Linked DNA regions of Bombyx mori. The protein of the gene in region 1 purifies or fractionates together with the protein of each later gene. This does not show direct contact. Links are inferred from orthologs where the notes say so. Each region holds a gene or a part of one and is shown in the gene's direction. Other genes may lie near its edges.

What was found.
Region 2: the proteins of sequestosome-1 (region 1) and rptor purify together in Homo sapiens (affinity purification with western blotting; 3 studies listed by BioGRID). This does not show direct contact. The link is inferred for Bombyx mori from reciprocal best matches to the Homo sapiens genes SQSTM1 and RPTOR.
Region 3: the proteins of sequestosome-1 (region 1) and histone deacetylase 6 purify together in Homo sapiens (affinity purification with western blotting; 6 studies listed by BioGRID). This does not show direct contact. The link is inferred for Bombyx mori from reciprocal best matches to the Homo sapiens genes SQSTM1 and HDAC6.
Region 4: the proteins of sequestosome-1 (region 1) and TOR1 purify together in Homo sapiens (affinity purification with western blotting; 4 studies listed by BioGRID, with this or other methods). This does not show direct contact. The link is inferred for Bombyx mori from reciprocal best matches to the Homo sapiens genes SQSTM1 and MTOR.
Region 5: the proteins of sequestosome-1 (region 1) and trifunctional enzyme subunit beta, mitochondrial purify together in Homo sapiens (affinity purification with mass spectrometry; 3 studies listed by BioGRID and IntAct, with this or other methods). This does not show direct contact. The link is inferred for Bombyx mori from reciprocal best matches to the Homo sapiens genes SQSTM1 and HADHB.
Region 6: the proteins of sequestosome-1 (region 1) and Rad51 purify together in Homo sapiens (affinity purification with western blotting; 3 studies listed by BioGRID). This does not show direct contact. The link is inferred for Bombyx mori from reciprocal best matches to the Homo sapiens genes SQSTM1 and RAD51.
Region 7: the proteins of sequestosome-1 (region 1) and WD repeat and FYVE domain-containing protein 3 purify together in Homo sapiens (affinity purification with western blotting; 4 studies listed by BioGRID and IntAct, with this or other methods). This does not show direct contact. The link is inferred for Bombyx mori from reciprocal best matches to the Homo sapiens genes SQSTM1 and WDFY3.

Annotation. Positions count from the first base shown.
Region 1 is NC_085111.1:6,306,030-6,310,812, forward strand, and holds the start of sequestosome-1, read left to right. Parts: upstream 1-1,530; 5' UTR 1,531-1,810; intron 1,811-2,383; 5' UTR 2,384-2,386; coding exon 2,387-2,561; intron 2,562-2,659; coding exon 2,660-2,833; intron 2,834-4,415; exon of another isoform or gene 4,416-4,577; coding exon of another isoform or gene 4,578-4,614; intron 4,615-4,783. UniProt on the Homo sapiens protein: Molecular adapter required for selective macroautophagy (aggrephagy) by acting as a bridge between polyubiquitinated proteins and autophagosomes.
Region 2 is NC_085123.1:794,757-798,792, forward strand, and holds part of rptor (regulatory-associated protein of TOR), read left to right. Parts: intron 1-653; coding exon 654-800; intron 801-1,199; coding exon 1,200-1,426; intron 1,427-2,773; coding exon 2,774-2,956; intron 2,957-3,306; coding exon 3,307-3,512; intron 3,513-3,775; coding exon 3,776-4,017; intron 4,018-4,036. UniProt on the Homo sapiens protein: Component of the mechanistic target of rapamycin complex 1 (mTORC1), an evolutionarily conserved central nutrient sensor that stimulates anabolic reactions and macromolecule biosynthesis to promote cellular biomass generation and growth.
Region 3 is NC_085111.1:17,639,436-17,643,471, forward strand, and holds part of histone deacetylase 6, read left to right. Parts: intron 1-975; coding exon 976-1,068; intron 1,069-1,939; coding exon 1,940-2,070; intron 2,071-3,331; coding exon 3,332-3,515; intron 3,516-4,036.
Region 4 is NC_085109.1:10,789,752-10,792,910, reverse strand, and holds part of TOR1 (target of rapamycin), read left to right. Parts: intron 1-2,624; coding exon 2,625-3,059; 3' UTR 3,060-3,159. UniProt on the Homo sapiens protein: Serine/threonine protein kinase which is a central regulator of cellular metabolism, growth and survival in response to hormones, growth factors, nutrients, energy and stress signals.
Region 5 is NC_085126.1:9,561,934-9,566,760, forward strand, and holds the start of trifunctional enzyme subunit beta, mitochondrial, read left to right. Parts: upstream 1-1,580; 5' UTR 1,581-1,703; intron 1,704-1,710; exon of another isoform or gene 1,711-1,732; intron 1,733-1,808; 5' UTR 1,809-1,854; coding exon 1,855-1,918; intron 1,919-2,463; coding exon 2,464-2,635; intron 2,636-3,916; coding exon 3,917-4,104; intron 4,105-4,827. UniProt on the Homo sapiens protein: Mitochondrial trifunctional enzyme catalyzes the last three of the four reactions of the mitochondrial beta-oxidation pathway.
Region 6 is NC_085131.1:10,828,164-10,832,856, reverse strand, and holds the start of Rad51 (rad51 homolog), read left to right. Parts: upstream 1-1,458; 5' UTR 1,459-1,654; intron 1,655-2,307; 5' UTR 2,308-2,583; coding exon 2,584-2,667; intron 2,668-3,206; coding exon 3,207-3,406; intron 3,407-3,777; coding exon 3,778-3,925; intron 3,926-4,630; coding exon 4,631-4,693. Other genes in the region: kelch-like protein 26, read right to left, coding at 1-39, 585-734, 901-1,008.
Region 7 is NC_085118.1:8,496,741-8,500,776, reverse strand, and holds part of WD repeat and FYVE domain-containing protein 3, read left to right. Parts: intron 1-260; coding exon 261-410; intron 411-1,277; coding exon 1,278-1,447; intron 1,448-2,360; coding exon 2,361-2,735; intron 2,736-3,368; coding exon 3,369-3,653; intron 3,654-3,740; coding exon 3,741-4,036. UniProt on the Homo sapiens protein: Required for selective macroautophagy (aggrephagy). Acts as an adapter protein by linking specific proteins destined for degradation to the core autophagic machinery members, such as the ATG5-ATG12-ATG16L E3-like ligase, SQSTM1 and LC3.

The DNA of each region.
Region 1 (4,783 bases):
AAACAATTAATAAATCACCGTTATTACACATTTAAACCCGAAGAAACACTAAATTGACAAAATAAAACAAATTACACAACTTCACTTGCGTTCCCGCAAAAAGTCTCAATAAGTAGATTTTATTAGGGATTTTATGACCTGGTAACTGAGACTTTTAAGTCATGTCTTATTTTAATTTGTGTTCATATTTTTATGAAAAATGATGATATGGAGTGAAATGAAATGAAACGAAGACAATTAATTTGTGACATTAATCAACTGGGATGAAATTAAATGAGATGCGATGAGATGATATGGAATGAAATATAATCTCAATAAAATGGTGGTCATTTATTGAGATTTTTTCAGTGGACTTTTTGGAGGATCCCGAGAAGTTACATCCAGTGGCTTTGTTTCATTTTCCCCCATTTGTGCACTTTCACACATATTAAACAATTAATAAATCACCGTTATTACACATTTAAACCCGAAGAAACACTAAATTGACAAAATAAAACAAATTACACAACTTCACTTGCGTTCCCGCAAAAAGTCTCAATAAGTAGATTTTATTAGGGATTTTATGACCTGGTAACTGAGACCTTTAAGTCATATCTTATTTTAATTTATATTCATATTTTTATGAAAAATGATATTCAGTGAAATGAAATGAAGATGATTAATTTGAGACATTAATCAGCTGGGATGAAATGAAATTAAATGAAATGAGATGATATGGGATGAAATATAATCTCAGTAAAATGGTGGTCATTTACTTACTAAGATTTTTTCAGTGGACTTTTTGGAGGATCTCGAGAAGTTACGTCCAGCGGCTTTGTTTCATTTTCCCACATTTGTGCACTTTCACAGATAGGTCCTAAGCAGTGAACAAACCACCGCTATTAGGTACACATTGAAACTGAAGAAGAAGTGAAAAACACTAAATAGACGTCCGGTGCATTCGTGTTGAGCGATGCACCGGGGTTCGAATCTCAGCTGGGTACCAATTTTTCTAATGAAATACGTATTCAACAAATGTTCACGATTGACTTCCATGGTGAAGGAATAACATCGTGTATTAAAAATCAAATCCCCAAAATTATAATTTTCGTTATAACTGGTGGTTACAGTGGGACCACTCGTGAGTCCACGCGGGTGGGTACCACCACCCTGCCTATCTCTGCCGCGAAGTAGTAATGCGTTTCGGTTTGAAGGATGGGGTAGCTGTTGTAACTATACTTGAGACCTTAGAACTTATATCTCAAGGTGGGTGGCGCATATACGTTGTGGATGTCTATGGGCTCTAGTAACCAGTTAACACCAGGTGGGCTGTAAGCTCGTCCACCCATCTAAGCAATAAAAAAAAATCACACAACTTCATTTCTTGCGCTCCCGCCAAAAAGTCCACTGAAAAAGTCTCAGTAAATGACCACCATTTTACTGAGATTATATTTCATCCCATGTCATCTCATCTCATTTAATTTCATTTCATTTCATGCCATGTTTCATATTAATCAACTTCATTTCACTTCCTGTTATCATTTTTCGTAGAGTGCAGTTTTCATTAAAATTAAAATAAGACTTGACCTAAAGATCTTAGTTACCAGGTCATAATATCCCTTTAAAAAAGTCAGCTGTATTGCACAACAAAATATTGTTTTTCTGTATCGTTCTCTAACATTCGAAAATACGTGAATCATAATTCATAGTGCTTGCATAAAAGTATATAAAAAGTAATTCAAAGCCTCAAGAACACCATTAATTAGTTGTAACGCCGGTATTAATACGTGTTATTTGTGTCATTTTACGGCCAGTGCATTTATATAAATCAGTAAGTTAAGCTATTGGATACAATTGTTTTAATTATATAAACAACAAGAATAATATATCTAAAGCCAACAAAATCAGGCTTTATTGAACAAAATGGCCTATCATTTTGCGCATGCGGACCAAAGTTAAAAAAATTGATGCTGCAGCGATAACACTAACATTTAATGTTTATTGAACTTTTTTCACTTGTAAACCTTTTTAAAAACAATAGTTAAAATCTTTGCGTTTTTGTGTTTCCGTTTAATAGTGTTCGCCCAGTGGTCATAATTTTACTAAAATTACTGATTCACCTTTGAATTAGATTGATTTATTGGATTACATTACAGTTTTCTTCTATAGACGGAAACAAAAAAAATACGGTTTCCGAATTTTTATATAAACTTTGGAAGTAAAGACCAACAGAAGGGAAAAACGCTACTGTTCAACAGAACTGCTTTATCTTTGCTTCTTTATACATAGATCTTACACCTGATACTTACAGTTTTCTATAGGTGCATCTTCAACTATGTATTTATTTCAATTCTATTTTTGCTGCAGTCCTTTAATGCATAATATCTTATATATTTGATTTTAGAAAATGGAGGACCAAGTTCCATTTAAAGTTTATGCATTTTTTGAGGAGAATGCTCAGCCAGAAGTAAGGAGATTTGGTGTTGAGAAAACTGTTGTGAGCAGTTTTCATTATTTGAATGCGAAACTGCAAGAAGTCTACCCAAAGCTGCGGAACAAGATTTATAAAGTATCATGGAAAGGTGATCAATTTTTTGTTTTTATTCTACTATGTAAATAAATACAGTTTCTCTAAGTTTAAGTTGATTAACAATTATGGTTTAAATATGGTTATTTTCAGATGAGGAAGGTGATGACATTATAATTTCATCAGATGATGAAATGATGACTGCACTAGTGTCTTTGGAGAGTGGGCTGATTAAGCTCAACGTTCACTGCAAGAATCCAGATATTAGAGATGATGACTGTGAAATAGAGATAACTGCGACTACAATGTTCCCAGAAAACACGGATGGTAAGTTTTTTCTGATTATTTAATCACAGAGTAGAATTATGTTTTCTGTTATTTAAATAATGTTGGTGAGGCATTAGAAGCGTCTATGGCATTATTAGTAAAATAAATTCTATCAGTTACAAATTTTTATATCTGACACGTGTTAATGAATGACTTCAGTGATGAAGGTATACCTGCTGAAACAACAAGTATTTATGTTTTCGAAGGTATTGATTAGCTTATCTATTGTTTATTGTTATCTGTGTATCCAATAAGACATTTGTTGATACCGGTTCCCGATGTGAATACTAAACTCGAAAATATTTAATTACAGTTCTACAAATATATAATTCTATCAATAAAATATTCAAATAATATAATTTATATAACAAATATTTCTTCATGCAAATAGCAATGTAATAGAATTGATTTCAATTGCCTAGATGCCTTAACATCTAACGTTCTAACTTAAACTGGCATTGTCAGTGAATGCCTTATAATGTATTTTGTTTTTATCGTGTAGAATGGTAAATGCCTCATGGTGCACTTGGGATAAAGTTGTTACTGGAGCCTATAGATATCAGTGTGAAGAGCCATGAGATGTAGTCTCAATTGTATTGTGTAATAACTATCCCACCCTTCAAATCCGATCGTATAAATTGCGTCAAGGCAGATAGATATAGGCAGAATGGTGCTACCCGTCCACGCAGGTAACACCTACAACTAGGAATTACGTATACTATAAAATAGGGCATCACTTTGACAGGTGGGCGAGCTCACGGGGCTTAGTCTGAGAGGATTGACTAACATTCCCTTCTCCAGACACATGCCGCTTTGTTATACTGTCGTCACGGCCCTTACCCTGCTTGTTTTTGATTATAGACTAAACAATGTGTTATCTTTAAATAACAATTATTACAATCTATTAATAGGAGACTAGTTGTTCTTCAGGGCAGTACCATCTTTTAATACTGGCGTAACTGGGCTTACTCTGTACGCTTTTGATTCTAGTTAAGACATTTTAACGTTTAAATAAAAACGAACTCAGTGTCTTAATATTACAACTGTTTATGAATTATTTAGAAAGAAGTATCCTTATCGTACAAGTCTTTCGTGAACACGTGTTAAGTACCTATTATTTACTTTGGTATTGGTTTGTGGAATTTGAACACCGGTATAGTCGCATTGCTTGATACAAGTACGCCGAGCAACTTACTCTTTACTCTTTAGATCACTACGACTTCAAAGCTCTAATAAATAAATATGTTGATAGCCTGACAAGCCCAACTGCCAATTTATATTTCCCGCTTCGAAATGTTTGTTTTGTGTTCGTAGTTTCCTCGTGGTGATTATCGTGGAAAAACAATAAGGTTTTGGGTGGCATGCATCGTTACGTAGATATCGGCTAGATTTTAGCCTCAAACGTAAGCTTTTGAGTCCCATGAATATTCCGTAAGTTCGGAAGTTTCCCGAAATCGATATCACACTTTATGCGCACCCTATTTTGCACATGGGTGGGGGGAAATCATACTCCCATTTCCCAATAAAATGCTCCCCGTCCCGCCAACCTTATGAGGCACAGCTATTCCCGCCTCCTCCTTTGTTACCGGTACCTCTCGTATTGATTGCTGCATGCGCAGATACGATCTGAGTTGACATCGGAGGATACTCGATTGCATAACATCGTTTGGGTTTACATCGGAGTGCGATTCTAAACGATAATCAGAACTTTTAAATTGCAATAAAACCCGCAAACTATTTTGTGATGGTGTTCCCGTTAAAAGTTTTTAGACATCGTTCGCGTAAGTTTTGTACTTTTCGTAATATTTTGTTATTGTTGCCCGCTGTCCGCATTTACTTGAGTTACTCATCTTCATTGTTTGTGCTGACTAATTATAATGCAGTACGTTAGCAATAGACGGATTAAAATTTAAAATTTAAAGTAATTACTGCCATACACAATATACAAAA
Region 2 (4,036 bases), on another chromosome or scaffold:
CGGTAACCACTCACCTTCAGGTGGGCCGTATGCTCGTCTACCTGCAAGGGCAATAAAAAAAAACTTAGTTTTTAATAATGAAAAAATGGCGATCACAATACGATACACACTTGAAAATTTTTAAGTACGCATTTGAAAAATGCATGGTTTCATTAGATTTGATATACAAAATAAAAGAAACCGCTCAATGTTACTGGTGGTAGAAAGTCTTGTGAGTCCGCACAGGTAGGTACAACCACCCCGCCTGTTTCTGCCATGAAGCAGTAATGCGTTTCGGAGACTTTAGAATTCATATCGCAAGGTGAGTGGTGGCATTTGATGACATTGTAGATATCTATTGGCTCCTGTAACCACTTAACACCAGGTGGGCCGTGAGCTCGTCCACCCATATAAGCAATAAATAAAAAGTTCAGAACTAGGCAAACTTGTGCAGATAACAGATGAGACAGTACACGTAAGTAGAAAGATGCCACTCATCTTGAAGTTTCAGATGAAAATCTCAACGTACCTATTTTAATGCTCACGCCATCCAGCGGAACCAGTTAACTTTAACTAATATTAGTTACTAAATAGTGACGTTGCGCCGACATCTTTAGATGTCACAAATTAATAAAAACCAAACTAAAAAATAAAACTAAGGTATTTGTCCCCAGACTTACACCCAGTACATCCCGCTGTCGATGTACGACCTGCAGACGTGGATGGGCGCGCCCTCGCTCTACGTGTACGACTGCTCCAACGCCGGCATCATTGTCGACAGCTTCAAGTTGTTTGCTGATCAACACGAGAGGGAGTACGAGGTATCTGCTATATGATATTTGTTAAACCAAGGGGGTGAAAGGCTAATTCGTTTGAACGATGTTTATCTTTGTAATTAAAAGTGTGTTTTATTTAGTAATAGCATCAACAGTTCGATGTTTTTAATTGACCTTGAATTAAGTTTAATTAGGATTTTTTTTCCAAATTTTAAACTTTAAGTGACTCTTCTTAAGGTTGCAAAAACTTCGTTTAAATATCTCTATAACCCGTCACCCTTCGATATTCATACTAAGTAAAACTAGAGCATTTGCTACAGAAACAATAATATGGTAATCTGTTTTATCAGTACTATGTAGGGTTCATGTGAACGCTTCATAGGGTGACAACATTGTAGGTGAAAAAGTTGAGATACACAGTTTTAATTCATCATTTGTGGACAGGCTCAGAAGAATGAAGAAGGCACTTCGAGCATCCCTCAGGTCTCGTACAAGAACTGCATCCAGCTGGCCGCCTGCGCCGCCGGACAGAGCCTGCCCATGAACCCGGAGCTGCCCGCGGACCTGTTCACGGCCTGCCTCACCACGCCGGTCAAGACTGCCATGAAGTGGTTCGTGCTGAGGACCCGGACCAGATACGCCGACAGGGACCTGCACGACCTCATCGATAAGTCAGTATCGTCTCTTAATCTCGTGTTGTGGTGGTGCTCGGTGATAACAGTTGCCTGTGGACATTCGCAGTTCCACTGTAGTATTCAAGTCATGTAAAAATCGAACAAGAGATTCATTTTATGGTGTAATTATCACAGTATAATATATTTTTACTATATAAAAATGATGAATAACTTTAAGAAAAATTTGTATTGGCCTAAGGCAAACAGGGTTGATCAATGACATGTTTGCAGGCTACAAGTACACTGGGCGTCTTATCTATTAGGCCATGTACGCTTCTAGCCATGAGTAGTCTTGCGTGAGTAATTGTGTTCGAATAGTTACAGAAGTCTGTGCAGTTGGGTGAAATATCAAGGGTAAAATATCGATTCACTGAATCGAGTCAGAACTACATATCGATTTAAAAATCGATATTTTTTTTGGTTCGAGAAATCGATCCTTCGATTAATCGATCTCGAATCGCCATCCCTACTGTGCAGTCGGTTATTGACAACAGATTTTTATCAGCTTGACCTGTATCGATATGTATGTCGGAGAAACCGCATTATTAACACCATCGTCAGACATCGTAGGGGCGAATAGGGTGATCGAGCTAAAAGAAATATTGAGTACATAAAACACGTTTGTTGTCTTAGAACAATTTAGAAATCTTCTCTTGACGTCAGCAAACGAAAACGAATGCCAGTTCTTAGAATGGAGGCATCGCTCTTCAAGAAGGCTGGTTGGTAGGTGTCAATGATGTCTATACGCGCCTCCATCGCGATCGTGCTGCCATCTCTCGGGAATCGTACTGCGTTTCGTTTAGCTACCAAACTAATGACAGTCTTCGACATGTATGTGAGTCGACTATTATCAAAGCCGGCAATGTGACTTTTGGACAATTATTGGTAAATCAGAAAAACGAATTATTGACTTTGTATTCCATTGGCAGTCACAAAACTCTTCTGAACGACATCTTAGATAAATAACAGGTTAAGTATTAACCTTTATTTAATGCAGGTTTTGAACCGTATTCTTTGAAGGAGACGATTGTATTCAAATCAATCTGTATTGACATATCAATAACATTTTTTTGTCCAAATGCACAGATTGCCACCTTTGATAATAGACGACTCATATATGTGATGAAACCTCAATGCAACGACCCGGCTCCACGACCTCAGATCAGCTTGGATAGTTACGCGCGCACCAAGGGGAGATAACGAGACTACAGTCTTGTTACTTTGATATCGGGATATGCTGACCAGGAGCACTGAACTAAAAAATTATTACTTAAATTTGTATTCAGTTTTTCATATGAAAGCGTGTGTAATTAGTTTTTAAAGTACATTGAATTTGTTGTCCAGGATCCCTGGCCAAGTGACGGACCGCCGCACCATGCTGGGCGAACTGAACTGGATCTTCACGGCCATCACCGACACCATCGCCTGGAGCTCGCTGCCCGCCGACCTCTTCCAGCAGCTGTTCAGGGCCGACTTGCTGACGGCCAGCCTCTGCAGGAACTTCTTACTCGCCGACAGGATTATGAGGTTGGTGCTTTTACAGCTGGTGGGGCCCACCACGATAGCATTGTGATGTCTCGTAACCGATCAGAACTAAGAACTCTGCGAGGCTGTATAAAACTTCTGAACTTTTAATTACAGTAGTAGATTAATATTTTTTTTGTTATTTTATATTGTTATATTATTGAGAATAAAGGACATTTGACATTTTTGGGTATTGTCCTTTGCATGTCATTGACACTTTGTAACAAACAACATTCTTCATTTAACTATTTGTTGCTGCGCCCAAAATGCAATATAGAAAATAATAAATACATATTTTACATTCCTATTAATATAATGTTTTGGAAAATCCACCCTTACTTGCATACTCCTAGATCATACAACTGCACCCCCGTGAGCAGTCCGGCGCTGCCGTCACTGGCCGCGCACCCGCTGTGGGCGGCGTGGGAGCAGACCCTGGACTCGGCGCTGGCCCAGCTGGTCACGTTATCTTCGGCTCCACATCCGCTGGATTACTCCCACTCGCCGTTCTTCAGGGATCAGCTCACCGCCTTCCAAGTCTGGCTAGATCTCGGTAAATGTGAGTGCTTACTAGAAACCGTGGTAACCGGCAGCACTTGGTAGCGCATGGACAGCAGCTCGCGGGGGCGGGCCGGCCTGCGGGGCCTGTAAACAATCCCAAAATAATACCGCAAGCGAGTATAATACGGCTCACTTGATGGTGAGTGGTTACCGGTGCTCATGGTCAGCAATAGCCAGGCCGTTGTCTATGACTGGTATAGTGTAGTTTAGGGGAGGGAGGGAGAGGGAGCGAGAGAGAGAGTGAGGGAGAGTGCGCTGCAGGGTGCGGCGGGCGCGGCGTGCCGGAGCAGCTGCCGATGGTGCTGCAGGTGCTGCTGAGCACGCTGCACCGGGTGCGCGCGCTGCAGCTGCTGTGCCGGTTCCTGGCGCTGGGCGCGTGGGCGGTGCGCGCCATGCTGGCCGTCGGGATATTCCCCTACATGCTCAAGCTGCTGCAGGCCTCCGCGCCGGTGCTGCGCGCCTCCATGGTCTACATCTGGGCCAGGATCATCGCGGTCGATCCGGTTTGTATTACTTATACAT
Region 3 (4,036 bases), about 11 Mb from region 1:
ACTAAGCAATGCTTACCTACCTTCTAAAAAGGTTTTTTGATGTTAATTGGCTGTACTTAAATACTTAAAAATATAGTCTCCCACTGCATCCTTATCAAACAATACAATGGTGTTTCAATCTCGCAAGCACATACCCATTTTTCAAATGAAATACATACTTTACAAATGTTCAGTATGAATTTGCTCACTGAACTAAATACACTAAATATAGTTTCAAAAACAATTTAAAGTGATGTTGCTAATTCGTCTAGTAAACTTTAATGGAAACTCTTCATTGCTGCTTTACTTTATCATCTTAGCTTGGTGTAAAGAAAGATGAGTGTTGACAGGCTGGAAGATTTTTTAAGTGGATACTCACTCTCTCACTATCAGGCTACGTTAGAGATCTGATAATGTTATTGAGAAAAGCTAACATAATAATATACCAAATAAATTCTAAGTAAATCAGGTGAAAATGAGGTATTATTACAAAAAAAATTTTGAATTACGATTTTTAATTTTCAAACGACATTGTATGTTATCTAATTATCTCAAAAGTGTAATTAAATTCCAGCACATGATTGATAAGAACAAAGTATAGCTGAGTGCTCACTAGGGGACAAAATAAATGTTTAAATCTTTTTTGTAATTATATCATATCTATAACCTTGCTTGGCAAAGCATGTATTAGCATTGAGGCTACTGGTCTAAAGAGAGTAATAAAAATACAATTTATGTTAGGGGACAGAGTCGCGCGCATCTCTCAGTAAATTTACTGGTTTCAAAGTAAAGTAATATTATTTTTTATTATTTTGTCACGGTTAAACAATAAATTTTATTACTCAGCAATTACTATTTATATAAAAACTACTTTTCAGTCAGTTGCTAATCAGTATCAACGACTTCAAGAAATAAATTCTATGTATATTTTGTAACAGCTTAGTTTAATATTGAGAGTTGTTTTTTGTCTTTAAATCTTTTTGTGTCATTTTTCAGCCTTCAGCATCCTTAATAGCAGCTAAAAAGAAGGCTCAACAGAAAAAGAAGCAAAATCATTTCGTAATGGAGATCAGGGATCATTTTCAGATTGTGAGTATTTTTTAGTTTATTGCTTGATGTCAAGTGTAACGGCCCTTTTACGATGCACACAGTATGGTTTAATATGATACTTTTCACACTCACAGGTATATGGCATGTTAGTCATGGGCTTCTTAAAATACCGTAACTGTCACTAAGATGTGTGATATGCTAGTTTTGAGAATTAAAAGAATGGATTACCATTAAGTAAATTACTATTAAGTAATCATTCACTTGGTAGGCAGCAGCTTGGCTGTGCCCTAGCATAACACTACCCAATTCAATAAGACATTTTTTAATGGTGGTAGGATCTCTTGTAAGTCCGCACGGGTAGGTGTCCCCACCCTGCCTATTTCTATAGTGAAGCAGTAATGCGTTTCGGTTTGAAGGGTAGGGCAACCGTTGTAACTATACTTGAGACTCTGGAACTTATATCTCAAGGTGGGTGGCGCATTTGCTATGGGCTCTAGGAACCACTTTATACCAGGTGGGCTGTGAGCTCGTCCACCCATCTAAGCAATAAAAAAAATGAAAAAAACAAGTTAGAGAATTTTCATTAGGTGGTATTCAGTGGGAGTAATGCACTCAATTTACTGCATATTTAAATTCTATTCATATACGTACATACATATTTTTTGTATTTAAATCATTGTTATGTGTGTAAAAAATATGTAAATATAAAAAAGGCAAAATGTAATTTCCAGTAGGTATCACCAACCTGCCTATACCTACCACCGAGCAATTATTCATTCTGAAATGAATAGTACAACAGCCTAAACAACCTTATTAACATTGCAATGTCTATGAGTTCTCATTATTAAATATCTCGTGAGCAATGAGCTAACTGACCCGTGTAACGAAAAAAGTTTTTGTTTCTTATCAGGCGATGGAATCGAAGACATTAGTGAAGGGTCCAACCGGATTTGTCACCGAGCCTCGCATGGGAGAACACAGGTGCTTGTGGGACGAAAATTACCCAGAATGTCCGGAAAGGCTCATTAGTGTCATCAAGAGGTCAGTAAAAAATATGTAATCTACACTGCTCATAGGCTTTTAACTGCCATACCATGTAATAGAAATAGTCTTGGAGCTGCCACAGTCACTATTTAAAAACTTGATCAGAAAAACATTCTTTATTATTTAGGTTATTTAGGTAATTATGAATGACTTAATGTATTATAAAGATAACCAACCGTAGACCATTTTTGGTATAATTTTCTTTATGTTTAAATTATTTATCAAAAAGTTAGAGTAGAGTTTAAGACCCCAGAAAAAATACCAAAATCAACTACTTACAGAAATAAATATGGCAATATATCTAAATCGGTGTCTCCGTATAATACAGCATAGAAAGAGGGCTAATTAAAGAAGACTAATAGACTAACATTGAAATATAAAGATTTCTATTATAGATAAGATATTATTGTTAGATATTTGAAGTTATACATAAAATAGTATTATTAATGCCGAATGTGATATCCCCTGTTTTCCAATTACAGCCCAAAAGCGCATTATGCGGCATAATGCTCAACGATAATATAAACAAAATTTCGATCAATGCCAACTTAAAGAAAAAACACTTGTCAATTTTCTGTCACTGAGTCGGTATCGATTGCGAGTATCACGCGAGAGCAGTACTTTTGAGAGTGCTCGATCGTTGCTGTAGTTGAAACATTCAATTGAAACATTCAACGTTGAGCATTATGCCGCATAATGCGCTCTTGTGCTGTAATTGGAAAACTACAGGTGGCAGAAAATTGACAAGTGTTTTTTTTCTTTAAGTTGGCATTGATCGAAATTTTGTTTATATTATCGTTGAGCATTATGCCGCATAATGCGCTCTTGTGCTGTAATTGGAAAACAGGGTCTGTCTGTTACATTTTCACATCCAAACCACGATTTTGACCAAATTCGCTATCGGCACTCCGAGAAAAATATAGGCTAATTTTCATCGCAATACTAACTTTAGGCCAAGTTGTAATAAGATCTATTTTACTTTTTTTATTAGTCTTTGGCGGCATTTACAAAGGATAATGGGTTGGATACCTATTTATTGGAATCCGTTTATTATTATGTATGTACTTATTAGATCCGCGAATATAGGAATTGGGTCGCATTTTTTTAATCCGCGAATAATGCAAACACGAATAAAGGGGCGCGAATAAGAAGCTTTTACTGTATATTAAAAAATAATTGTAGTTGCTCCAGAATCTTTCCCCGCACTCTGGGGCTACATCCAGGCAGCAATCCTGAAGAGATTTAATGACGTGTTCAGGTGTCAGGAACTGAACCTGGTCCAGCGCTGCAAGCACTTGGAGCCCCGCGCGGCCACCAAGGAGGAGCTCTGCGTGCTACACGCGCCCTCCGTGTACGAAATGTTAGAGACGACACACGGAAACGACGACGCCGCGTATTTGGAAGAGCTCTCATCGAAATTCGACGCTATTTATATTCATCCAGTAAGTGTTTAAAGATTAATCATGTATGTAAGTCGGCGCGTGTTTTTATAAACCATTAGTTCATGACTAATAAAGATGGGACGACAAACAACACGTGCAAGCATTCATCGAAAACTACACGTGCAAGATAAGAGTCGTAAACAACATCGTCCCACCACGATACCTTGCTATTTTTATAGCATTATACGCTCCGTTGTTGTCTCTCGAGCTCAGAAGCGAGCGAGTCGCCGTATCAGACGGAACGCTCCTGCGTAATATACGCTCCGAGTTAACATTTCTAGACCGCCCGCTTACCATGTCGCTACCCCAAAGTAGAAATACTCCAACATGTATAGCTATGTTGTATTTACATATCCATGGGTGAAAGGCTATGACAGTTCGCTTAATACGCGACATTTATATTTATAATTAAAGGTACGTTTTATTTGGTATTTGCATCATGAGTTCGATGTTTTTAATTGAACTTCAATTAAGTTTACTCCATTGAAATAGCTGAAGAAGTGTTTTTTTGTTATGATATT
Region 4 (3,159 bases), on another chromosome or scaffold:
GAGTGATGGCGGGACATCGTGAAACGCGTCAATCTAAAGTATCCAAACACTTTTTTTCCTACCTATGCTGATAGCTTTAAGAGGCTATTTCAGCGTTACTCTAGCGAGTAGGTGAGCTCTCGGGGCTCAACTCGGAAGTATTGCTAACACTGGCCCTAGTAAGAGCAGTGTTTCGCAGAATCTACCACCGGATCGAAAACGCGATCCACTGAGAAAGTCCGGCGAGAAACTCAGTAGGCTGTGTATATAGGTTAATTTACTAGTTCGACAAGGACGGTGACCGGTGATTCGAGCTACCTAAAAGCACCGTTAAAGGATCGGGAGGATCCGTAATCACGTTTCCCAAACTCTACATGACGATCACGACCACTCTGTCAAGAGTGAAACGGTTGTGAAGAAGAAGGGTGTTTAAAGTACTAAATCCAAAGTCGAACCGTCACAATACAGGTTTCGTCATCTGTTCGCAATCACTAATTATTAATAATACATGTATTATATCACAAGTTGGTAGCAACAACACAGTCTAGCAATTAAACTAATGTTTACCCGCGACCATGAAACAGTTTTCATACGCAATCAAATACAACAGTTGAACAGCTAAGAAAATCGATACATAATGTTTGATAAATATGAAAATTTACATAATATGTTTGTTATTAATTCACAGAAAAAATATAATGTTTATAGTATTTATAGATAATTTATAACTTGTTTTTTTTTATATTCATATGTTATGAGTTAGCTCAGTCTCTGGCACTACTGACTTTCATGACGTTAACCAAAGTCAGGTCGGTCGTATGGACGTCGCCTACCATATAAAGCCAATAAAAAAAGATATAGGAAAAGTTTTATCGTGGTAAATAACATAACCCGGACAATGCCGAGTATATCTGCTATAATAAATACCATAGTGCGTTCCCTGGTTCGCGATTCTACGTAACGACAGGTCTCCAGATCGGCTCGTAGTTTATAGGTAGGATACAGAAGCAATCTTTATCCGGCAATATGTATCTTTGTTGTTTCTGAACTACAAATCTAAATAAATTAAATTATTGTTAATATAAAAAATCATTGGAGATAATTTCGTAAATACTGGCAGTACTATTATCTTTTCTCATAATCTTAATAATAGGGATTAAAGTATGGAATTGCCGTTCTATTGTAATAGGAACTTCGAACTGACATAGAACCTTCATGGTTTGAGATTTTTGAGTGAAACTTTTTTCAAATGGTACCTATGAGGTTCTTCTTTAAAAAAATGTGCTACATTCGATTATCGAATTAGTTTTTTTTTATTTAGCTTAGACAAATCAAACACGATCAAATAATACTTGCTATATTAATGGAAATTAAGTTAAATAATGATATAGAATAACTACGCTAAGTGCTCTTACGTGAACGGCCCCCAATAATTGATCGAATGAGTAATCAAGATGGACTTTTAAAATTTTTATTGAAGTCAATCTTTATCATTTAACGGTCTCTTTGAAAACTCGTCCGCATCGCAACATGTAATTGTAAATTAATTGATCACGCTATGTCATCAGATTTGAACTTCTTGAAAAATAATGCCCTCATAGTTGTAGGTACATAGTAGTTGTTAAATGTATTTCAATGTCGATCTGACACGCAAAATGACCTTGATTCTGACAGGACAAATTATGTAAACAAAGAAATATGAGAAGTCGTCGTGGTCCGAAAGTTAAGGCGTTCGGTTTACTCGTGTCAAGCGATGCGACTATGCCCATGTTCAAATCCCACAGTTTTTAGAAAACACGTACATAGCACGTGCTCGCTAAAGACATCATCCTTGATGCATGAATAACGACGTCTTTTTTTTATTGCTTTGGTTGGCTTTTGGCTCACGGCCCACCTACTGTTAAGTGGTTAGTGGAGTCCATAGACATCTATAACGTAAATGCCCCCACCCACCTTGAGATATGAATTCTAAGGTCTCAGTATACTCGTAGTTACAACGACTGCCCCCTCCCCCTTCAAACCGAAACGCATTACTGTTTCACGGCAGAAATAGGCAGGGTTTTGGTACCTACCCGCGCGGACTCACAAGAGGTCCTACCACCAGTAATAATGTTATAAAAATCAAACCCGCTAAAGCAATTTTACGCATGACTGGTGGTAGGACGTATTGTAATCTCGCACGGTTGTATTGGTACCACCGTCATGCCTATTTCTGACGCGAAGCAGTCACGTGTTTCAGTTTAAATCGTCAGATAGATGTTGGAAAGTATATTGAAGACATTGACCATATTTCTCAAAGTGAGCGGCGGCATTCAGTTTGCCGTCTCAGGTCAAAGATCTCTACCTCACATCAGTATTTTAACGTTTCATGTTCAAGGGCATCCTCCATGTAAATATTAATAGTAGATTAAGTAAGTCTTCTTCTTTTTAGATTTTTTTTTAGATTAGTTTTCGTTATCATTATTTTATCCTATATTTGTAAGGAACATTGTGTACTCAACACATTTATCTTGATTAGTCGTGCGCACATGGCTTATGTTAACAGCCAGATTTTTTACTTGTTGTTATTTATTGTGTATCTTTTTTTTGCTTTTTATGTGTATTGTGTGCCTAATAAATAAAGTAAATAAATAAATTTGATCCAGGTAACCGGCATCGAAGGTACGTACCGCTTCACCTGCGAATCTGTGATGCACGTCCTCCACAAACACAGAGACAGCGTAATGGCTGTGCTCGAAGCCTTCGTCTACGACCCGTTACTGAACTGGCGGCTTGTAGACAACGACCATCACTCCATCACGGAGTCCTCGTTCTCCTCAGACATAGACTATTCGTACACCCTCCCGAACAGAAGCCGAAATCATTTGCTTTACGAATCACCAGAGATCCCGCCCGAGGCTAATCTAAATAAACGCGCGGTCGCCATTTTGAACAGGATTAGGGACAAATTGACCGGAAGGGACTTTCCTAATGTTGAATCTATAGTGAGCGTGCCCCAACAAGTGGAACTGCTCGTGAAGCAGGCGACAAGCAATGAGAACCTCTGTCAGTGCTATATCGGCTGGTGTCCATTCTGGTAGTGGACCAACTGTAATGGTATATATATATATATATAACATTTCTGTGTATATATATATATATATACACAGAAATGTTAAGCGAAAACCAACTTCGCTCGAT
Region 5 (4,827 bases), on another chromosome or scaffold:
ATTATTTTTATCTTTATTAATTCCATAGAAAAATGGCTCACAGCCCAAAAATGTTAAGCGGTTACCAGAGCCCACAATATGAGTGTCAACTGTACAGCATAACGGCTAACCCACCATCGGAACGAATTACTGCTTTGAAGCAGTAATAGGCAGAGTGATGGTACATAGCTTGCGGCCTACAAAATGCCCTTACACTAGTAACATACTTATATTCTCAATTACGTTTGGTTTTGGGTTCATGTCTGAAAATTGTAGAACCTCGAAACTGGCAAACAATGGCATCTCGATTGCTATACTGAAAAAAAAAGAAGAGTACAAATAGATGCATTTGTTGTTTGTTCTAAGAGTTGCATTTGTTTGTATTTTTAAGCGAAAGCATGAATTGTAGTGTAGACATCAGTTTCAAACTTCAGACCAACTCAGCGCTTCTTAAATAATATTATTAAAGGGCTTAAACATGTTAAAACCGTGTCTAATAAATAATAGATCTGCTTAGTGTTTGGATGTACTGAAATTAGAGGAAATGAAACAAAATTGATTGACATGCTTAGTTTTTAGGATTATTTTAAAGTCTTTAAAAGCCGTTACAAAGTTTCACTCTTTTTTTCATAGAAAAATAGGGAACGATTAAAAGCAATCGTGGCTAAAAGTCGAGTCGTTAATGGACGTAAATAAATTGTAACGAAATGTTTAGAGTCAAATATGACATTTACAGTGATACAAGAAAAAGAAAAAAACAACAGATAATGGATTAATTAGAAAAAGAAAAGATCACGTTTTTAATCATAGAAAGTATTGAAATTAGTTTTTGAATCTTAATTATAATATACTGCATAGTAACAATCTGATTGTGTGGGTAACGTGATTACATACAAACTTCAAGCTACTGGTACTACTTCCCTAAAATCCATCTTTAAGGCACTACCTAGTTAGCACAGGTTATAATCTTCCCTGTAAACAAAAAAGTAATGTTTCAGCCACTACCAGGGTTAAGAATTAAGTAGCAGTTGATATTTGCATTATTTTATGATCCTCCTCCCTGTGTCACATTCCTCATATCTGAAGACCGTGACCATCTCCTCTCATTATCCTTCTCTAGATGATGTTTCGCCATCTTCCTCTGTGTTCTCGGCGGTGTGTATAGCATCGTAGACGGTGGTATCCAGAGTAGTGCGGGCTTGGTCGGACCAGCGCTGCAGCGCATTGGATTGCGGCCACGAGACCTTTTGCCTGCAATCTTCCCAGTTACTATAAATTTTTCAAAATCGTCAAGATCGTCAAATATCCTCTTGAGGCAGATGGTAGAGAGCCTGGTTTAGATATAGAACCGTCTTAATATCCATCCGTTAGTCCGATATGCTGTCCACGAGATTCATAGCATCTTCCTCCAGCACCACATCTCGAAGGCACCAATGCGGTGGCGATCAGCTGATTTCAGAGTCCACGTCTCAGCACCATAGAGAAGCATTGAGACCACTAGAGTTCGGACAAGTCTCATTTTGGTTTTAAAAGATATTTTGCTATCTCTCCATGGTCTGATAGATATGACTTTATGATATCGTATGATTAATTCATAACCTCCGCTTACATCCGCTTAATAGACAAAATGAAAATAGCAAAGAGTAGCTTTTCACCAATAGCGGCTTTTTACGAAAATGAAGCGGTAACCCCAAAACGCTTTCTTGATCTGTGGTGTAAAATAGGTCAGAGTCCAACTCTCCAAGTTTTTTCACTAAATAGAATACAATTATTTTGAAGTTTTTATATTTTAATTTAATTAATATTTAAACGTTAGCATTTTATTGCAGAAATCTTCACTGTTTAAAGAAAAATTGTCCGAAGTGCCGTACTAAAATGGCTTCACAAGTCGCTAAATCATTGATAAAAGCAAACCACGTACGATCTACTGTTAAGTTCGGTAAGTTGCAAATTATACAATTAATTTACGATAAATATACAATAACGTCCCAAAACAAGAGTCCAGTTACGACCATCAAAGCATATTAAAACATGTTTATGTAACAAATCGGTTGTTTTATCTATAATTTTGAAAAGCAAACTTTGGACTGTGATCCTGGCAGACTTGTTTATAAATTTGCTTGTTTGTTGCCAAATTATATTAATAGAAAATGTTTTGTCCTGACATTTATTTTGGAACTTCAATGTTTTGTCTAATATTTCTTAGACAAAATAAATTTAAGGCAACATACAAACTTTACTATGAAATAGAACAAACAATACGTACACAGACAATACACACAGCCCACACACGACTTCCACAATGAAGGAACATCATCATGTAATAGAAACCGAACCTGATTTAATTAGAATTTGTACAAATATTTTATTTTTGATCTAAACAAAAGTATTTGAATGTTTAATTGGGCTAAACATTGACAAGTTTTTAGCTTTTCGCCCAATATATTTTATGTGGTAATATAAAATGACTTTTTTTTATAATAGATACTGCCAGACGAGCGCTGAGTGTAGCGCCAGTACTGCAGCAGAAGAAATCTCTCCCAGACCGTACAGGCAAGAATGTGGTGCTTGTCGATGGAGTCCGCACTCCATTCCTTGTTTCATTCACCGATTATGCCAGGATGATGCCCCATGAACTAGCAAGACATGCACTTCTGTAAGTTGATTTTAAAGATTTATTAATAAGACAAGATTAAAGGTAATCTTGATTAACATATATATATTTTTTTATTTTCATAAGACTTTGAGAGGGACTAAAATAGTTAAGCAATCTCGCTGTCTCCCTCTTTCTAACTATGTATATCACATGTTGGTTGGTCAGCTTTCTTTAATTTTCTCCTCTACTTAGCTGTCTTTGACATCATCGTCAGTGACATTGAATACCCTCTTCTCCTTCAGCACTACCAACTTATCTTGGGTCTTTCTCTAGGTATCTAACTGGTGATGTCAACTGACTGCGTCAAATTTCCAACATAGTCTGGTGGCCTCTTTTTTGTGTTTTTATTCTGTTACGAGCGAGCTACTTTTTTGAAGTATCTGGATTTATTGGTTAGATGGCTGGACGAGCTCAGAGCCCACTTGGTGCCAAATTGCTATCACAAATAAATATCACACAAAAAAAAACAGGATGTATTTTTGCTCTATGTTATTCCTTTGTTGTCCAATTAGTACTTGACTGTGGGATTGGATAACTGATACAGTAGCATTACTCTATAATAATGCACAGGGCATCTTATTCTCTAGGCCACAACTAATTTTATTTATTTATTGCATAGTTGGATGGATGAGCTCACAGCCCACTTGGTGTTAAGTAGTTACTGGAGCCCATAGATATCTACAACGTAAATGCCGCCACCCACCTTGAAACTCGACACTACAACGGCTGCCCCACCCTTCAAACCAAAACGCATTGCTGCTTCACTGCAAAAATAGGCGAGGTGGTGGTACCTACCAGTGCATACTTACAATGGATCCTACCACCAGTGATTACGCAAAATATAATTTTGCGGGTTTGATTTTTATTACACGATGTTATTCCTTCACCATGGAAGTCAATCGTGGTGAACATTTGTTAAGTAAAGTGGATTCGAACGCCGTTGCATCTATCAATACTAATATACTGGACGTCTTATCCTTTAGGCGATGACGACTTTTATTAATATTCATTTTTAATGTATATTAAAGTAATGTAAGACAGTATATGAAATATGTAAGATTTTAACCTGAAAAGAAAGAAGGGTAGAATTGTATTTTTTAACAATCTTCACCAAGTCTGTATACTTGCACAACAACCATGAAGTCATTTGCTTAATTGATTGCTGTGTGTTTATGTTTTAAAAACCCAGCACTTAGTAATTTTTTTTTATGAAGGAGAATAAGTACCATCACTAGTACACTACAGAGATCTTTATTTTGTGTCTTATGTCTATTTTCATAGTGGTCTCCTACAAAAGACTGGTATATCGAAGGATGTCATTGACTACATTGTATATGGCACCGTGATCCAAGAGGTGAAAACTTCAAATATAGGGCGCGAGGCAGCCCTGGCGGCTGGGTTCAGCGACAGGACTCCAGCGCACACCGTCACCATGGCTTGCATCTCTTCTAACCAGGCAATCACCACTGGTGAGGGCTACAATTTATTTGTGTTTTTTATAATATAGTTGCATCTCATTCTTTGTATATGATAATGATTACCACATCTGTGTTTTAATTATCATAAAGATCTACAGATATCTCGTCAATCTTAAACTCAACAACCAAAATGTTTAATATTTTTTTAAACATTTTTAATAAAAATTGATTTGAGTACATATAGTCATAACTCAGCCATTCATTAGTTTTCTTTAAACTTCTTTATATCTCTTGATCCACCATCTCTCCACATAATGGAGATGTTGTAATTGTGATTTGTGACAGATTTGATTTTTAATTCCCTAGATCGGTGGGTAAGGCCCACCTGGTGTTAAATGGTTACCGGAGCCCTTCAACATCAACGTAAATACCCATCTTGAGACATGAATTGTTAAACTCAGTTATATAGTAGACAGACCCTACTATTCAAACTGAAACGCAGTACTGCCTCACGATAGAAACAGGCAGGCTGGTGATACCTACCTGTTCCGGGCTCATGAGAAGTCCTACCACTAGTAAAATCTCCGAGTCGACAACAAAAAAAATCTACAAAAAACCATTGTTTTTTTTTTAAATTGAAAGTATTTCTATGCTTGATATCAACTTTAATTACCTTTAAAAAGAAGGACTTTTTTTCTAATAGATAAAAAATGACGTATAAAATAATACTTACATTACATTATTTGTGTCGGGAATAGAGCATTTTCGTTCAGA
Region 6 (4,693 bases), on another chromosome or scaffold:
GTATTGAAGTATCATGTTCATTGAGTATGCATCAACCATCTGGAAGTGGATATAGAAAGAGTAATTTTTTTAATATTCAGTAATTTACAGTTCTTCTTGTTTACAGTCCTTTTTTATTTTTAAGTTACACTATCATATTGTAGGTAGATATTTATTCCCACAGATGTCCTCAAATGGACATAGGCCTCTCCCAAACCACAATGATCGGCCTGCACTGCTTGCGTCCAGCAGATCCCGCATACCTCAATAGGTGGTCTGTCCAACGTGTGGGAGGCGAGGGAGCTAGTGTGGGTAGCCACACTACGTCTACGGTACGTTCTATACATAGAATATTATAAATAGAATAGTTAGCTGTCAACAGCCTACCCTCACCAAACGTTCCACAATGAGGTATGATTGAGGTACCATTAACATCAAGGAATCGCAAAATTATCAATTTACTACCCACTACTACTAGATAATTATGATTAAAAATTAAACATTTTGCGATTATTCATAGAGTTAAATCCATAATTATTGTTTTAATTGTTTGTCATTTTATACATTAATTTAATTTAGCTAACATAATTTATAATTTTCCTTACATCAATTTTTATTTCCTGTCGTTCGTTTTCAATATAGTTTCCACTGAACATTGCGCGAAAATAGTCGCTGTACTCGCACAAAACATTTTTGTTCGCCGTGAATCTCTGATTTTCTATTAAAAGTGTTACTTCTTGAGTGTCCTCCATCTCCTTATTAAAATCCAATAATCATATGTTATAAATGTTCAATAGAGTTAAATCAATTTTATCAAAAAGCTAACCCGCAAAAATTTAAATAAATTCGTTGGCAGTGGGGTACGGTATTCTGTATGTTTATGTTTACCTCATGGAGTTAATAAGTACCTAGTTTACCTACATTCGTGTTTCTATGTTTACGACAACGCAGGGAGCAATTGTCACTTGTCAGTTGCACCCATAGACCAGTGGTTGCACCTAACAGCTGATTTTGAGTAATAGGTTCCATTTTTCAAACTGGAAAGGCGAAGGTATGAAAAGGAGATGAAGTTGATTAATTTAAGACATTAATAAATTAGAATGAAATTAAATGAAACAAGATAATATGGGATGAAATATAGTCTCAACAAAATGGCGGTTATTTAGGTAGTTCCGTTTCACTTTTTGGAAGATACCGAGAAGTTACGTCCAGTAGATTTGTTTCCTTTTCCCACATTTGTGCACTTTCACCGATACTAAATAGTTAATAAACCACCATTATTAAACATTAATTAGAAAACTACCATTAAGTAAAGGTTAATTACAGAGCATAATGTGACTCAGTGACGCACAATGCCGAATTATGCTGAAGCTTAGTTGAGCATTATGCCGCATAATGCGCTCTTGTGCTGTAATTGGAAAACGGCCAGCATGTGTACATCTATGATTGATCTTGACATTTAAGCGGATGTGACTTTTTGGCGGGAACGCGAGGAGTAAAGTTGGGTGATTTGTTTCATTTTGTCTATTTAGTGTTTCTTCAGGTTTAAATGTGTAATAGCAGTGGTTTATTAACTGTTTCATATCTGTAAAAGTGCACAAATGTGGGAAAGTGAAACAAAGCCGCTGGACGTAACTTCTCCGGGTCCTCCAAAAAGTCCACTGAAAAAATCTCAGTAAATGACCACCATTTTTCTGAGATTATATTTCATCCCATATTCATCCCATCATATATTTCATCCCATTTCATCTCATTTAATTTCATCTCAATTGATTAATGTCACAAATTAATCATCTTCATTTCATTTTATTTCACTCCATATGAGGCCTATAAAATCAAAGGCAGCTAAACGCCTCAATGTCGCAAAATGGATTAACAATGGCGCTATCTTGTTTAGTTAGTTGGACACGCTTTAGTGTTTTCATGTTATAACAAATGCAGCTAAATCTCTAACAAATTCAGATCAAAAAATTTATTTTTACTCTGTACTAAGAACTAATAAACGAAGTTTTATCATTTAAAATTCAGATTATTAGTAATATTCTCAGTCTTTATGTGCTTAAAATGTGCTTTAAATTAAAGAATATCGTAGCTATCCGAACAAAGCTATTTCAGCTTCTCAAACCGGGAGTGTTGCTAACACTGGCCTTACCAAGAGCAGTACTTCGATGGATCGGGAGGATCCGTAATGACGTGTTTAGGGCTGATTTTTGCAGTTTACCTGAATATTTGACAGACTTGGATTTAGCTGCCTTTGATTTTATAGGCCTCATATTATCATTTTTCATAAAAATAAGAATATAAACTAAATTAAGACATGACTTAAAGGTTTTAGTTACCAGGTCATAAAATCTCTTAAAAAAATAAGCGGATGTCTTCAGACTTCAGTGTCGACTTTAAAAATAAAAATAGTGATTGAAATTTTAACGCGTATGTTACTTACAAGTTTGCTCTAACAAACAATAAAAAAAAAATTAGTTAAAATTATTTTATAATCCAAATCGTGTACTCCAAAGACACCTAACCTTGTAAAGTTATTTATAAGCAACTGAAGTTTGAATATTTTTAAATGAGCCGGTAATTGTTTGAAAGCCACGGACAATAATGAATACCACTGCTTCAGCAACTACGACTTCTTTGGATGAAGATGCTGACGAATGCGGGCCACAGCTGATCAGTAAATTAGAGGTGACGTCATGTGACAAGCTATAACTTGCTTACAAATATTACTGGATTGAACTGACTTATTGGATACAATGCGCAACTTATACTGTAGATAAATTCTAATTTATTCCATTCTCTTAACTATATTTCTTTTTAATGTGTATATGAAATAAATAAATAAACATATTGGATGATAATAAAGTGCTCCTAAGAATCCTATCTATTTATGCTTAAGTAAATCTACATATCCTGCCTTGGAGAGTAAGATATCTACATTCCAAATAAAAGATCTCTCAAGAAAAGAAAAAACAAGGGTAAAAGAGGGTCAAGTTTATCTGCTCTAAGAATTTTCAAATAGATCTCCAGAAGACACAAAAACGTTCTGTAAGAACAACATGAGTCTATGCTCATATTAAGTCAAATTCTCAGTTGTATTGCATTTGATGCTACTTAATCGTTCAACCTTACTTCATTGCAACATTGTGTACATCATATATATATCTAAATTTGGATTGTGATAATTTGTTTGTTAAATAATAAAAATATGGAATAATTTATTTTAGGGCAATGGCATCACATCAGGAGATATAAAAAAGCTTGAGGAAGCGGGATATCATACTGTTGAATCTGTTGCCTATGCTCCAAAAAAATGGCTAATCACAATTAAAGGGATATCTGAAGCGAAGGCAGATAAAATATTAGCTGAAGCATCTAAATTGGTGCCAATGGGATTTACAACAGCTACTGAGTTTCATCAAAAGAGGTAGGTACCTTTAAAATTATTTATTTATATTTTTTATTATTAATTAATGAAACGCCAATATGGCTAAGGTTAGTACAAAGTTGTGGAAAACATTTAACACATGCAAAGTATGTAAAAAAGCAAAAAAATTAGTACCTTCCTGCAGGATTTGTACCCCGTCTTTGTTACATAAATTGTTATGTCTATGTATCTACCTTAGGCTATAATGACACAATTATTGGACCTGACATAAGGGACACAGCTCAAATCCCAGTATCGAACTAGTAATGTATAGTCATATTCTTGACACAGAAAATAACTGCAGCTAATACTTGTATTAGATTTTTTTAATTAAACCAAATCTACATTGAGTATTGTTTGAATTCTTCCAGGGCTGAAATAATACAACTTACTACTGGTTCAAAGGAATTAGATAGATTACTGGGAGGTGGTATAGAAACTGGTTCTATAACTGAAATATTTGGTGAATTCCGTACTGGCAAAACCCAATTATGTCACACATTAGCAGTCACCTGCCAGGTACAATTGAATTAAACCAATTTGCAATAAAAGTATATAATAATAAATATTAATAATGTATACTATAATGATATGTGATAATGTGTAATATTGCATAAAAGACGATATGTGTAAGTGACTTCATATAAGAGCGGAAGTGAGCGAAGAAATGGTTTATGATAGAGGTATGGTAGGAGAAAACATATTGCGCCAATCCCAGGTTACTGGGAGTAGGGCAGGAGAATGATGTTGATGATGAATGTATAATATAGGTAACGTAACGGCCGTCTGGTGTAGTGGTAAGTGACATGGTCACTACACAAGGGGGTACCTCTAACACAAGTTCTTTACGAACTTATCACGGGACTAGTTAACGTGGTGTGATTGTTAGTAAATAAAAAAAAATAATACTAATAATAAAAATAAAAAAAAAAATAATAGTCATAAATGTTCATTTAAAATATTAGAACTGTAAGGTCATATTTTGATGTAAAAAATGTTTAGAGGTTAACAACAAAGGGAAGATCTTCCACCCAGCAGGTGTAATTTCTCAGTGGCAGCCAAAAAAAATTGAGAAAAAATTGTTCAATGAACAATGTCGCTTCTATGTAATATTGTAAAATGTAAAATATCTAATAATTTCATTATTTTTTTAAATAGAAATCCCATATTGGTAATTTTAAATTACTGAAAACCAATTGCCTTGGCCTTATTAAATTTTCCCAGCTACCCATTGAACAATCTGGTGGAGAGGGTAAATGCATGTACATCGATACAGAAGGAACATTC
Region 7 (4,036 bases), on another chromosome or scaffold:
ACCACCACCATGGCTATTTCTGCAGTGCAGCAGTAATACGTTTCGGTTTGAAGGGTGGGGCAGCCGTTGTAATTATACTGAACCTGAACCTTAGAACTCATATCTCACGATGGTTGACGTCATTTACGCTGTAGATGTCTATGGGCTCCGGTAAACACACACCAGGCCGTGAGCTTCCACCCACCTAAGCTATAAAAAAATAAAAATAAGCCTAATACAGAAAGGGGTTAATACAGAAATTATTGTTTCGATGATTTTAGATGTAGGAGAATGGGAGCCGGAGGGTTCGGGTGAGTGCGGCGCCCGCGTGTGGTGCCCCGACCTGCAACACGAAGGACAGTGGCATCACCTCGCGCTCGTGCTTAATCGTGCTGTCCTCAAGAATTCCTCTTTTTCCCTTTACTTGGATGGTTAGTTTTGTTTATCTCTGATTAATTATTATGATTAAATTCATTTATTTCAGATAAAATATTAATCCCTATGTTAGTAACAGTGACTTCTTAAAAAATATGTTAGTAAGGACATAGTAACATAACAAAACAAAATAACAACATACATACAATTACAATTAATACAGTTTACAATTACGAGTACATTTTGTGAACCTCTCTACAATGATTGAGAAATTTAGTTGTCTTCTAATTCTTTTTCGGCAAGACAATTGAAACATCATGCATAAATTGAAAATCGCATTTAACTATTATATTATGTAGGTTTATTAGGTATTCATTCGTTACTATCAATCAGCCGAAAAATACGTAGCATTCTAGGATTATTAAATTTCGGCAAAAGGTTAAATAACCATGATTTCAAATTAAAATTGAATTTTTATTTTTGACTAGCGATCTGCCCTCGCTTCGCTTCGGAAACATTAATTTTTTTTATTATTGATAGCTGAGTCTCGCGATGTTACGCGCGGTTATTGTAGTGGCGCGGGTGACGCCGCGAGGCGAAGTTAGTCTAAAAGTAAAACAGTTAGGCCTAAGTTACTTATATCATCAGCTATCTATCAGTGAAAGTCTTGTCAAAATCGGTCCAGCCGTTTCAGATATTAGCCGGAACAAACAGACAAACAAAAATTGTAAAAAATGTTATATTGGTGTATCTATATACGACCCTTTTTTAAATCTGCCTTGAAAAATATTACAAAGCACTCGTCTAATGGTAGGCAGCGGCTTGGATCTGTCCCTGGCATTGCTGACATCTATGAGCGACCACTTACCATCAGGTGGGTCGTATGCACGTATGACTTCAAAGACCATATAAAAAAATTGCAGGTCAGCACATGCACTCCGGGAAGCTGCACTACGTGAGCGCGAACCCCGGGGGCGGCGCCGCCACGCTGTCGGGCGCGTCCAGCGTGTACTGCGTGCTCGGGACGCCCCCGCAGTGGCGGCGCTACTCGCGGCTGCTGTGGCGACAGGGCCCGGCGCTGCTGCTCGAAGACGTGCGTACCATTGTCACAGCATTCCCGATCCCGCGGTCAGAATGGAAAGCAGACGACGTCGCCCCAAACGCGTCATTTCGGATCCTTCCGATCAACTAACGGTGCTTTTAGGTACCTCAAGCACTGGTCATCGTTCTCGATGCTCGACGAGTAAATTAATCCACAGACACAGCCCACTGAGTTTCTCGCCGGACCTTCTCAGTGGGTCGCGTTTCCGATCCGGTGGTAGATTCTGCGAAGCACGGCTCTTGCTAGGGTTCCTGTTAGCAACGTCGTCAGGTTTGAGCCCCGTGAGCTCACCTACTAGTTAAGGTTACGCTGAAATAGCCTCTCAAGGCTGTCAGCCAGGTAGGAACATTTTTTTTTGCATTTCGTGCTGTTGGGTCCCTCACTACTAATTGTAACCTCCCTAACTATTGAGCTCATGTCTTCCTAGCGTTACACAGTAACTAGACATATTGAGGCCAAAATCTGACCCCTTGAAACACAAAGTCGAGGCCAAAAATTAATTGTTGTCTTCATCTCTGTTGACTAACCTATCTCACTATGACCTCATCAATCACAGCTAGACCTGCCATAGTTAATTTTTTATTTATTTGTATCTAATATCATTTAAAGTCTTTTAGAATTTTTGTAAAAACTGGATAATTAACAGTTATTATGAAATAGACTGTCTGTTTATTGTTTAGTCAGTCAGTGGTGTTCCACGGGTATTTTTTATTTGTTAAATAATTGGGTGGACGAGCTCACAGTCCACCTGGTGTTAAGTGGTTACCGGAGCCCATAGATATCTACAACGTACTACACTTATCTCTTCAGATTTTACTTTTTTTAAATAGTATTGAAATTCTTCATATAGATGTCAAGATAATATGGCTGTACATTTTGTATTGACACATACATACATTTCTAGGTACTCACAGCACAGACAGTGTCGGTTATATACCAACTGGGTCCCCATTACGTGGGCACACTGCAAGCTCCACTGCCGCCGGGACAAAACCAAGAACCTCTGACGCCTCTAGTCGCAGAAGAAAAAGTTATTTTCGGAATTAATGCACGAGCGATGTCTCAATTGACCCTCGCGAAGATAAGGAAAGTGTACAGTAAAAACGACAACAAGGCCATCGCAAAGCAACTGGGCATGTCGTCGCACGAAAACGCAACCCCGATACGGATACTCCACAACTCCGCGGGACACCTGATGGGACCCGCCAGATGCTTGGGCGGCACCGTGGTGGGCTATTTGGGAGTCAGAGTATTCTGTTCGAAGCCAGCCGCGATTATGGTAATTATACATCTGACTAAACAAGCACAATGTATTGTTAAATAATATCAAGAGGCAAATGGCTATTTAATGGGTTAAGCGACATTTTTGCAACTTCACAGGAGAGACATTTAAATTTTTTTAAATTTTGGAAAAAATATCAGAACAAAAACACTACTTCAACTATTTGAAAGGAGTAAATTTAATTGAAGTTTATTTAAAAACATCGAATCATTCATACTAATACCAAATAAAATGGACACCTGTAATTACAAAGATAGATGTCGCGTATTAAGTGAAATGTTGCTTAAACCAAATAGCCTTTCAAACTTCGATATATTCTTTGGATACATCTTAGTCTTTGTTGTTAAATAGCTTAAAAAAAAAAGTGTAGGTTGATAATTTCGACTGTATCTATTTATTTGTATTATCTTAAAACTTCTTTAGGTTAACCAATTTTGTTGTATCTTTTTTTTGGAAACTGTTACTTATGTGGTTCCGCTTCACATTTATCAAGATCTGATCGTTAGTTTTTGAGTTGTCCTAAATAATTCATATTTAATTGACTTGGACTGCATTGATAATATTTTAATTTTACTTTTAAAGAAGTTGGTTTTCTTTTTTGTTAAAATTTTATTTAATTTTTTTTCATAGATTGACACGGTGGGCGGTTGTTCAGTGCTGTTGGGCTTGATCGCGATGGCACAAGACGTGGAATGTTTGTACGCCGGCGTTAAAGCGCTAGTGTGCGTCGTTCGATCGAACAAATCGGCTCAAGCCGAAATGGACCGGCGGAAGGGATACCAAACCTTAGCTATGTTATTGAAGAGGAAAAAGCAGCTATTGAATTCTCATATACTCCACCTTGTATTTGGACTGGTCGGAACTGTGGACAGCCAGAAGGAAACATCGTCTATTCCTAATTTGACAGCTTTTCAAGTAAATGTTCTGTTAAAATCCAAATATGAGTTAATTTTGCAAATACAAAAAAAATTCAAAATTAATTTTGTATTTATAATGTTTTAGGATCTCATCTGCGAGCTAGAGGTGTGGCTCGGCGCCCCCGGTGGCCTGATTAAATCGTTACTGGAGCATTTATTAGAACTGGCCACTGAAACGGCTCACAGAACGCACAATTTACGCACAATGAGAGAGCTCCAATTGGTTTCCAAACTTTTATACATAATTAATGACGTAAAAGTCGTCAGCACAAAGAACGTTCTAATACAATTGTTAGCTGCTTTATTAGGGGGGCAGCCCAGACCGAGCGATCTGTTATGCTTGGGACAATTCATGGCATACACTCTACCGCTACCCTCGCA